Macaca mulatta: one gene and its partners. The protein of the gene in region 3 interacts with the protein of the main gene of each other region in a pairwise test. Links are inferred from orthologs where the notes say so. Each region holds a gene or a part of one and is shown on either strand. Other genes may lie near its edges.

The links.
Region 1: the proteins of RPS14 (region 3) and TAF9 interact in binary tests that used the Homo sapiens proteins (3 or more experiments, as listed by UniProt). The link is inferred for Macaca mulatta from reciprocal best matches to the Homo sapiens genes RPS14 and TAF9.
Region 2: the proteins of RPS14 (region 3) and KRR1 interact in binary tests that used the Homo sapiens proteins (3 or more experiments, as listed by UniProt). The link is inferred for Macaca mulatta from reciprocal best matches to the Homo sapiens genes RPS14 and KRR1.

The regions. Positions count from the first base shown.
Region 1 is NC_133411.1:77,439,697-77,443,790, reverse strand, and holds TAF9 (transcription initiation factor TFIID subunit 9), read left to right. Parts: upstream 1-1,476; 5' UTR 1,477-1,477; coding exon of another isoform or gene 1,478-1,570; intron 1,571-2,618; 5' UTR 2,619-2,635; coding exon 2,636-3,430; 3' UTR 3,431-3,589; downstream 3,590-4,094. Other genes in the region: AK6 (adenylate kinase isoenzyme 6), read left to right, coding at 1,478-1,570. UniProt on the Homo sapiens protein: The TFIID basal transcription factor complex plays a major role in the initiation of RNA polymerase II (Pol II)-dependent transcription.
Region 2 is NC_133416.1:82,682,467-82,686,610, forward strand, and holds the start of KRR1 (KRR1 small subunit processome component homolog), read right to left. Parts: upstream 2,898-4,144; 5' UTR 2,863-2,897; coding exon 2,778-2,862; intron 1-2,777. UniProt on the Homo sapiens protein: Part of the small subunit (SSU) processome, first precursor of the small eukaryotic ribosomal subunit.
Region 3 is NC_133411.1:159,406,368-159,409,475, reverse strand, and holds the end of RPS14 (small ribosomal subunit protein uS11), read left to right. Parts: intron 1-1,070; coding exon 1,071-1,147; intron 1,148-2,420; coding exon 2,421-2,488; 3' UTR 2,489-2,536; downstream 2,537-3,108.

The DNA of each region.
Region 1 (4,094 bases), about 82 Mb from region 3:
TTAGGCAATATAGCCAAATCCCGTCTCTACAAAAATTAACCAGGGCATGTTGGTGCATACCTGTGGTCCTAGCTACTGGACAGGCTGAGATAGGATTTGAGCCCAGGAGGTGGAGGCTCCAGTGAGCCAAGTTCCACTGCACTCCGGCCTGGGTAACAAAGAGATATCTTGACTTTAAAAGAAGAAAAAGGTTGCCGGGCGGTGGCTCAAGCCTGTAATCCCAGCACTTTGGGAGGCCAAGGCGGGCGGATCACGAGGTCAGGAGATCGAGGCCATCCTGGCTAACACGGTGAAACCCCGTCTCTACTAAAAAATACAAAAAACTAGCCGGGCGAGGTGGCGGCGCCTGTAGTCCCAGCTACTCGGGAGGCTGAGGCAGGAGAATGGCGTAAACCCGGGAGGCGGAGCTTGCAGTGAGCTGAGATCCGGCCACCGCACTCCAGCCTGGGCGACAGAGCCAGACTCCGTCTCAAAAAAAAAATAAAAAATAAATAAAAAGAAGAAAAAGGTAAATAAATTATTGTAATTGATTCGAGGTGGCTAATTTTTTTTTTTTTTTTTTGGAGACGGAGTCTCTGTCACCACGCTGGAGTGCTGTGGCGCGTCCTTGGCTCACTGCATCCTCCAACCACCCGGTTCAAGGGATTCTTCTGCCTCAGCCTCCTGAGTAGCCGGGATTACTGGCATGTGCCACCACGCCTGGCTAATTTTTGTATTTTCATAGAGATGGAGTTTCACTATGTCGGCCAGGATGGTCTCGATCTCCTGACCTCATGATCTTCCCGCCTCGGCCTCCCAAAGTGCAGTGATTACAGGCATGAGCCACTGCGCCCAGCACGAGGTGGCTAATTTTATTCTGAGTAGTTCCATGGTAGCAGCAGGCAGTTTGAATTGGCGTCAGAATTTGCTGAGCCCCACCCCTGGAGAATCAATACACTGAGTAATATTCTGACATTCAATTAGCTTTGGAAAATTTTTATTAGATCGTAGTACATGCTGATTTACATATGGCCAGGCATGGTGGCTCACGCCTGTAATCCCAGCACTTTAGGAGGCCTAGGCGGGCAGATGACATGAGATTAGGAGTTTGAGACCAGCCTGGCCAATATGGTGAAACCCTGTCTCTACTAAAAATACAAAAATTAGCTGGGCATGGTGGTAGGCACCTGTAATTCCAGCTACTCAGGAGACTGAGGCAGGAGACTCGCTTGATCCTGGGAGGTGGAGATTGCAGTGAGCCAAGATCGCGCCACTGCACTCCAGCCTGGGTGACAAGAGCGAAATTCCGTCTCAAAAAAAAAATTTTTTTTACATGTTATTGCTAATTAGAAATTTTTCATTTCAGTCGTCAAGATCTTTAAGGGCAGAGGCCAGGTGAGACTCTGCCTCAGAAATAAAAAAAGGAAGGGCACAAGGTGGGCTGCAGTGTGATAAGTAGTATTTCACAAACAGTATTTTTCTGTGGCTTGTCTTACAGGTACACCAGGGGTTGGAAAAACTACACTAGGCAAAGAACTTGCGTCAAAATCGGGACTGAAATACATTAATGTTGGTGATTTAGCTCGAGAAGGTAAGGGACACTTTGGTGTTAGATTTGTTTTGTTTTGTTTTGTTTTAAGTCTGATAGTGGAGTGTTAGTGCTGGGTATTGTCAGAAGGTACAAAAAACAGATTGCCATTAAAGAATATATACTCTTGCCTGTAATCCCAGCACTTTGGGAGGCTGAGACGGGCGGATCACGAGGTCAGGAGATCGAGACCATCCTGGCTAACACAATGAAACCCCGTCTCTACTAAAAATACAAAAAAATTAGCCGGGCGAGGTGGCGGGCGCCTGTAGTCCCAGCTACTCGGGAGGCTGAGGCAGGAGAATGGCGTAAACCCGGGAGGCGGAGCTTGCAGTGAGCCGAGATGGCGCCACTGCACTCCAGCCTGGGTGACAGAGCGAGACTCCGTCTCAAAAAAAAAAAAAAAAAAATATATATATATATATATAGTCTTTTAGGGAATCCACAGAAATATTAAGTGTCTAATGCTATGTCCTGGTTATTTTGAGCATTTTCCCTTCCTCCTTGAAAATGGCTAGCAATTCTTGTGAATAGTTGGGAAGGCTCCTATGAAGAGACTGGATTTCGGAGAGGTAGAATGTGAATAAGGAGAGTGTTTTCAAGTTGAGCAAACAAAGGTTTGGTACTGCTGAACATATATATGAGCACAGTGAGTGTATTGGTCTCACTGGAAAGAGATTGTTTTGAGCTCAGGTGTAGGACATGACTATGCTATGGTATCTTAGTGTGAGGTTTGCATGCAACTGCATATATTCTAAGATGATAGATGTTTTTATTTATTTTACCCTGTTTTCCCCTAATCTTTTATCACTCCCTTATTTGTGTCTTCATCTTTTTATAGTTGACAATGATTTGTACATGGTAGGAACTCAATAAATTAAAGGGATTTTAAGTATGCCTCATTAAAATTAAGAAAACATATGGTTTAAATTTAAAAAATTTTTTTACAGTTTAACATAGATTAAAAAATTTTTTAAGTTCCTGACAGTTGCTACTAAAGTAACTATTTCAGATTGATCTAATGTACATATTTTTTTCAAATGATCTAAAGTCTGATCATCGGATATCATGGAGTCTGGCAAGATGGCTTCTCCCAAGAGCATGCCGAAAGATGCACAGATGATGGCACAAATCCTGAAGGATATGGGGATTACAGAATATGAGCCAAGAGTTATAAATCAGATGTTGGAGTTTGCCTTCCGATATGTGACCACAATTCTAGATGATGCAAAAATTTATTCAAGCCATGCTAAGAAAGCTACCGTTGATGCAGATGATGTGCGATTGGCAATCCAGTGCCGCGCTGACCAGTCTTTTACCTCTCCTCCCCCAAGAGATTTTTTATTAGATATCGCAAGGCAAAGAAATCAAACCCCTTTGCCACTGATCAAGCCATATTCAGGTCCTAGGTTGCCACCTGATAGATACTGCTTAACAGCTCCAAACTATAGGCTGAAATCTTTACAGAAAAAGGCATCAACTTCTGCGGGAAGAATAACAGTCCCGCGGTTAAGTGTTGGTTCAGTTACTAGCAGACCAAGTACTCCCACACTAGGCACACCAACCCCACAGACCATGTCTGTTTCAACTAAAGTAGGGACTCCCATGTCCCTCACAGGTCAAAGGTTTACAGTACAGATGCCTACTTCGCAGTCTCCAGCTGTAAAAGCTTCAATTCCTGCAACCTCAGCAGTTCAGAATGTTCTGATTAATCCATCATTAATTGGGTCCAAAAACATTCTTATTACCACTAATATGGTGTCATCACAAAATGCTGCCAATGAATCATCAAATGCATTGAAAAGAAAACGTGAAGATGATGATGATGACGATGATGATGATGATGACTATGATAATTTGTAATCTAGCTTTGCTGCATGTAACATGTATACTTGGTCTTGAATTCATTGTACTGATATTAAACATGCATGCTGGATGTTTTCAAGTTGTGTTTTAGAAAACTTTAATAATAATTAATGAGTAAATACAGTTACCATACTTTTCAATTGAAATGAAGGTTTTTCATCAGCCTTAAAAGTGTAAGAAAAATAAAGTTGTCATTCATTACTTTGATTGTTGGTGCTTTGGCAGTTATGTTTTTAAAAGCAATTTTCTCCCTGTTGTCACCAAGGGGAGTAACAGTTGACAGTTGCAGCAACTTGCAGTACTGTAGTCTATTGTTGACCACTAGAATGTCACCTCAAGTGTCTTCAGATATATAGATCACAGTATGATCTCTGGTGTATGTCACTCTTGTGATCTGTTCTCTCAGTTGCTGAAGTATAACCATGACTCCTCTTTGGAGAGACTAGTTGGTCAGGATTTTTATTCATAGTGAATTCTTAACCTGCTTTGATTATCTTCCTCAATTGTCCAACTTCCTAGGTCCCATTTTTCTGTCCCTTTGGTTATATTAAGGACCCTTAGTGTCTCCCAGTATGTCTCCACTTTTTTAAAAAAAATTTATCAGTGTCTCTTTTTGCAGGTTAATTTTGAGCATCTTTGTTTTTCATATTCCTGATACTAT
Region 2 (4,144 bases), on a different chromosome or scaffold from region 3:
TCATGCCAATTGGCATATGCCAGACAGACAGTGAGCACTCCAGAAACGTGTACTGCATTACACTACCATAAAACTGAAGATCTCAATGCCATTTTGTTTAGTATTTTAAATACAATTAACCTTTCTGACTTTCCTGGAGTGTATGGAACCTGGGTGTATGTGTTTGTATACAACTTCTGAAAGAGGATTCTAGTTTATCTTTCAGTTAATAATCTCGAGTAATTCTAGATTTTCCTAAGCGTTTTGAGTGCCTTATTTCCACATGCGTTTCATAACTATAAAAGGTAGAATCTGTATTATTCTCATTTTATAGAAGATAGTCTAAAAAGGCTAAGTGACTTGCCTAAGGGAACACAAAGCTGACTCAGCCTGGGACTCCTTTCACTACAAGAAAATGCCTAAGGGCCATAAATTATCTTCTGAATCATGTATTTAAAAAACGTGGTACTGAATTTTAAGAACTCCTTAAATTCAACAGCTATACTCTAATTCAGTTATACTAAAAGGTATGCTCCATAGACTTTCAGTATCAGTATAAACTGTTAAGTCTGTCAGAAATGCAATTATTGGGCCCCACTCCAGACCTACTGAATCAGAATCTCTTCGACAAGGGACAGAAGTCTGTGTTTTACCATGCTCAACAGGAGACTCTTAAGCACAGTAAAATTTGAAAAGCAGGGCATTACCCTATGTTATCAACCTCAGGTAAACTTTCTGCTTATACTCACATCCACTTTTCTATTTCTATTTCTGGTTCAAATCACAGACAATTGGCTAGTCTAAGGATTCTCCAATGTCCTTTAAAGAACACAAATTCCACAAAAGTGATTACTTGTGTATTATATACATTTTTTTTTTTTAAGACAGGGCCTCGCTCTGTCACCCAGGCTGGAGTGCAGTGGCTCCATCCCAGGTCACTGCAGCCTGGACCTCCTGGACTCAAGCGATCTATTCTCTTGCCTCAGCCTCGCAAGCAGCTGGTACTACAGGCATGTGCCATAATGTCTGGCTAATTTTTGTTTTTTTTGTTTTTTTTTTTTTTTTGGTAGGGAAAGGGTTTTGCCATGTTGCCCAGGCATATCTCCTGGGCTCAAGCAATCCCCCCTCCTCAGCTTGCCAAAGTGCTGGGATTACAGGCATGAGTCACTGCAACTGGTTACTTGCAATGCTTCCCTGACCAAGTCCCTATCCAATTTAAACACTTCAAAGGCTACGGATCAATTTTTTCAAAGTTCCCACTACAATCTCAGACAAAAAATTGACAAAAGAAATACACAGGAGTTTCACAATTAAGGAAGGCCCAAAACATGTGAAAAGATACGCAACCTCATAGGTGATCAGAAAATGCAAATTAAAACTGCAACCAGATCCCATTTCATACCTACCAAAATGACAGAAATTCAAAATTCAGGTAACATCATGTATTCATATGAATGTAAGGCAATGAGAACTTTCGTCCACTGCTAGTGGGAACAAAACTGACACTAGCACTTTGGAAAAAAGTTAGCATTACTTACACACACCCTACACTTCAGTAATTCCAATCCTATGTTCACAACCTAAAGAAACCCTTGAACATGTTAACCAGAAGACATGTACAAAGATGTTTTAGCAGTACTGTTTATAATTGCAAGCAATAGGAACAATCCAAATGTCCACCGATTGTAAAATGAAAAAAAAAACTGGGGTATAGTCATACAAGGAAACACCACATAACAGTGAAAAGACTAAAACTACACCTACAAGTATCACCCTGTTTGAAAAACAAAGCTAAATCTAAGACACAGAAAAATGCATACGGTCCACTTTCATGTATATAAAATTTAAAAAGAGGCAAAATTAAGCCACTTCGTGACTACAAGAAGAGGAACAGAATGCAACGCAATTCAGAGTGGTTACTTGTGACAGGAAAAGAGAATATGATCTGAGAAGTGCACGTAAGGGTTTGAGGGGTATGGTAATGCTCTATTTTACTTAACAGTCTGAATGCTAGTTTCTTGCATGGTTTTATTAAACTATATATAAGTTGTATCCTCTGCTATGTACGTTACATAATCATTTAATGAGCAACAACGAAGAAACCTTGAAAACTTTCCCAATGCATCTAAATTGAGAGTTCAATGTTTTTAACACTTCTATGAGCCTGGTTGAACAGATCCCCAGGCTATTTCTGACTTCTCTGTCATTCATACTGAAGAAAACGGGTAAAACCAGACCACAACGCAGGAGTTAACAATTAAAAGGTAGCACAACCTAAAGAGCAAGGGCTGTGTCGTCTAGTATTTTAGCAATCTGACAAACAGGAATTGATAAATCTTTCAAACTGTCTTTACTGACAAACTAGAGCTAAGGACATGTCAGATAGCTCCTTTCCCCATATCTCACCCCATTATCAGGGTCGACTCCTGTATATCAGAACTACCTGCTCCCACCTCACCCTATTCCTCATTCCGTCAATGACTTTCAGTCCCCTGCAGGCTACAGGGTTCCGCGGCGCCCTCGGCATTTTCTTAATAATCTTTTACAGAAGACGTATTCAGCAACGGCTTCGCTTTGGGGACCCTTTAGCAAAAGGAATGAATTAGGAACACGTGGGTGGCACCATATCGGCCAGTCGTTCCTGTGGGCCCAGCCAATAATCTTATCAGCGATTATTGTGGTACTTAAATACACAGTACAGGCTCCAGGTGGTTTTATAAGTCCACAAGCAATGAGAAAAAAAAACATCGCAACTCAACGTCCACAAACCCCAGCCTTCGGTTCCCACATAACATCACCTTGGTTCTCCGGCTTTGTCTTCTGGTTACGAAATTCACTTTTTCCAGCCCCTTTTTCTCGCCGCTCTAAAGAGGGAGACGCCATTTTCAAGCTGCTTCCGGTGACGCCGGAAATGAAACTGTTCTTAAATCCTACCGGCTAAAATGCCTACACTCAAAATGAGTTCCGCGGAACTCAGACGAGGAGATCTGCGCAGTTTTCCGTGCGTACGTGCGTTAAAGCCCGCGCTTTTACACACACCGGAGGTTCTCCTACGTGGCCAATGAAGAGCTGGAGACTTTCTCCCAGTATGCACTGCAACCATGGCGTTTGCGTACTGGGACTTGTAGTTTAGCAGGCGGTATAGGCAAATTGGACACTGTGTTATCCGCAGTTTCCTCGTGGCCTCACGGGCTAACCTGGACCACCGGAGTGCGACCAGCCTGTCATTGATGTCATTCATTCTTTCGATAAAAATTTATATGTTGGCCAAATATGCGCTAGATGTTGGGAGGAAGCACAAATATGAGAATACAATGTATATTGGGCCTCCGCTGTAAGAAGTGACAGGAATAGCTACTATTTATTGTGAGAATGCTTTGTTGCAGTACTTTATTTACATTATTTCTAATTTTAAAAACAATGACCAAATTAAACTTTCCAAAGTTGTTTATGATGGTAATCTTCCCGAGTGTTGGTATTTCTCTTTCTAAGTCAGAGGGATGGTAATTCAACATTCTGACGTTTCAGAAGTATTTCAACTAGCCTAAGATTTCTCAAAATCTCTACTCGTTTTCTACCCCCAACATTGCATAGGGCTAAGGTGTGTAGAGAGGTTCATCACTGACTACAAATAACTACACTTTTAGAAGTATAAAAGTTCTTTGACATGCCAAAGACAAGATTTTTTAAAATTATTGATTTTATTGCTTGCATTTCTAAAATTTTCTGCAGCAAATAGGGAAAGTCTTTGATAGGTTAAATTCCTTGCATTAGTGAAATACACGTTTGTCTGATAAATCCACTCTCGTGTATCTTATACAAAAATTTAGGTTTTCATATATGAGATCCATGTATGAAACAGATTGTTACATATGGACAGAAGAACCCAAACGACAGAGCAAAGGTTTTTTGCTTTTATCCTGTGCGTTTTATAAATGACAGGGATTTTATCTCTGTTCTTTTAATTTCCTCAAAAAAATAATGATAAATCCCTAAAATAGAACAAATAGCAACAGGTTAAAGTTATAAAGTGAAGAGTACACCTCATGAAGCAGGTTTTTATCATCCTTATTTTAAGTAACTCAATCACTAATAAGTGAAAGGCCCGTCTTCAAGTCCAGGCAGTTTGACCTAGCAGCTTCAGGGGGCTACTATTCATTAGGAG
Region 3 (3,108 bases):
TGGGTACTGGAGCACCTGGATTTGAGGTTTGGGTTTTTCGTTGTGACCTTGAACAAGATATTTTAGTCATATACATATTTAATAATTGGCTCCTCTGTACACCCCCAGCAGCTCAGTGTGGAGCACCCACTGTATACCAGGAGCTGTGTTTCAGGTACTAGAAGAGAGTGATGGGTGAAACATAGGAAACATAGACATGGTCTCTACCCTCCTTGTGTGGGACCTAGGCTGGTAGGAGAGTCAGACTTTAAACAACAGAGCGCCAGGGAGTATGTGCTTTTCATTTGTGACAAATGCCGGGAAGTACAAGTAAGGAGTTGGTGATAAAGTGTAATTTAAACTAAGGTCTCGATGAGTCCAGAGTTCTTCCAGTGAAGGAAGGACAAAAGGAGGGGATTCCAGCTAGAGACAACTGCAAAGAAAGGTCTTGATGTTGAGGGTGAACCTGGGCACCTGTGAAGGAAAGGGTGGCATGAGGTACAGTCAGGGGAAGAGGTGGAGTCCTGTAGGAGAGGGGAAGGACCTGGCCTTGAGTGGTGGTGGGGGGAGGGGCATGAAACTAGATGACTATTAGGTGAACAGGCCGGACAGTGGTCAGATCATACAACAAAACCATAGTGGCCCCTCAGCCTAAAATACTTACCATCTGACTTTTTTTTTTTTTTTTTTTTAAGACAGGGTCTCACTCTCCCCCAGGCTGGAGTGCAGCAGTGCTGTCTCAGCTTATTGCAGTCTCTGCCTTTCAGGCTCAAGCAGTCCTCCCACCTCAGCCTCCCGAGTAGTCGGGACTGCTAGTAGTAGCGCCACCACGCTGGCTAAATTGTGTATTTTTGTGGAGATGGGGTTTCACCATGTTGCTCAGGCTGGTCTTAAACACCGGAGCTGAAGCAGTCCGCCCTGCCTTGGCCTCCCAAGGTGCTGGAATTACAGATGTGAACCACTGTCCCCAGCCCTGTCTCTTTAAAGAAAGTTTGCAGACCTCTGAACTAGCGGGGTGTTGGAATCTTAGAAAGGAGATCTTTCATTGACTGGGCCGCAGGCTTTTCTTAACTTAAACCTCCATTTTCTAGGACCAAGACCCCTGGACCTGGGGCCCAGTCGGCCCTCAGAGCCCTTGCCCGCTCGGGTATGAAGATCGGGCGGATTGGTAGGTGCCCTCCTCTAGCTAATGCTTAGATCTGTTTTGAAGCATCAGCCCCGAAAAGCACATGCTGTGCCCAGTGGATGCGCAGCGGCTGGTCTGGTCGCTTTTGGCAGTTAAGTTTGTTAAGGGAGGCTACAAGTCACCTTCTGACTTAAAAATCTCTCCCTGAATACCTCTGTCACCTTGATGTGAATGTCCTGTTTCATTTGTGAATCTCTGTCCTCCACTGCCTGGTGCCGGTAAAACTGACAAGAGATGAATTGTCCTTTCCTCCGTTCTTGACGGCATTGCAATGAGCATTTTGTGTGTGCCATCTCCTGCATTGTAGGATGTTCAGCATTTTTGGTATCTGCCCACTAAATATCAGTAGGGCATGCCAGCCGTGTGACAACCATAAATGAAGTCGGGGGGTGCCAGCCTCCATTATTAATACTCATGCTTGTGATTTCCTGGCTCCTTACAGCTCCTAGGAAGGGGGCATTAGTTCTTGCCTGCACGTTGTTTCTGTGCAGTTAGTAGAGATGTACGCTGACGCCCCAGGCCAAAGTTCCTACCGTGTCCTACTTGAAGGATAATTTTGTTTTCTTGAGATGGGGTCTGACTCTGTTGTGTGGGCTGGAGTTCATGGCACAATCTCAGCTCACTGTAAATTTTGCTTCTTGGGCAGATCTGTCCAAGGAATCCTCCCACCACCCCACCTCAACCTCCCGAATAGCTGGGACTACAGGTGTGTGCCACCACACCTGGCCTTTTTTTTTTTTTTTTTTTTTTTGGTAGAGGGGTTTCACCATGTTGCCCAGGCTGGCCTCGAACTCCTGGCCTCAGGCGCTCCACCGGCCTCAGTCTCCCGAAGCCCAAAGTGCTGGGATTACAGGCATGAGCCACTGCACCCAACCTTGAAAGATTTTTTCAGACTTTTTTCAGTATCGTTTTACTTAATGCAAAGGAGACAGTTGCAGTTACCCTGTCCAAAGGGTTTTTCCTCTAGAGAAGATGGTGGGCTAAATGTCAGAAGCTGGATTTCTCCTGTGCCTCTGACATCTTGCATACCTCTCAGCCTGTTTCCCTTTCTGGAAAGTGAGTTAAGACCACGTCAGGAAATTCGAGGAACTGGCAGATGGGGCCGCTTCACGTTCACATCCATCTGTTATGTACTGGGGAGTCATTTGGGGAGCAGCAGGATCTGTTGCTGATTGGTTAGGCCATTGGTCTAGGGAGGCCTGGGGGCCCTTCCCATCCAGCTCCAGGCAATGACGCTTTCTCTTCCTCCACACAGAGGACGTCACCCCCATCCCCTCTGACAGCACTCGCAGGAAGGGGGGTCGCCGTGGTCGCCGTCTGTGAACAAGACTCCTCAAAATATTTTCTGTTAATAAATTGCCTTCGTGTAAACTGTTTGAACTCCAGTCTTTTCTCCTTCATCAGGGGCTACTCGGGCATTTGATTTCTTCCTCCTATTTGGCTTCTTGGGAGAAGGAGCCTGAGGAGAGCTGAGATCCTCGTGCTACATTTGGGGTCTTTTCCATGCTACTTGCAGCATTAAGTTGCCTTGGTCATCTAAAGCAGACCAAGGCTTTGGAGACCTCGTTTTGAGTGGAGGTGCTGGTTCTAAAAATGGACCAATTCTTAAAGAGTCAGAGTGGGAACTGTGGATCCAAGTGTAGCCTGAAGCGAAGAGGAGCCTTCCAGACCCATGCCATATATAAACACACGTGGGTGTGCATTCTCCCCCCACACCTTCTGTGCAGAGCTAGGAGCTCACTCTACTGTGTCTTGCTTTTTTTCACTTGGCAGATCTTGGAGATTGTTCCACATCAGTACATAAAGTACATAAAGATTGTCACCCCACAAATACACACCAAGTCCTATTTTCATCAGCGATAAAAAAGAAAAGTTCTTGCTTTCCGGAAACTTGCATGCGGCTCTGAGTACCCAGTGACACCAGATGGTACTCAGTGTTTTGC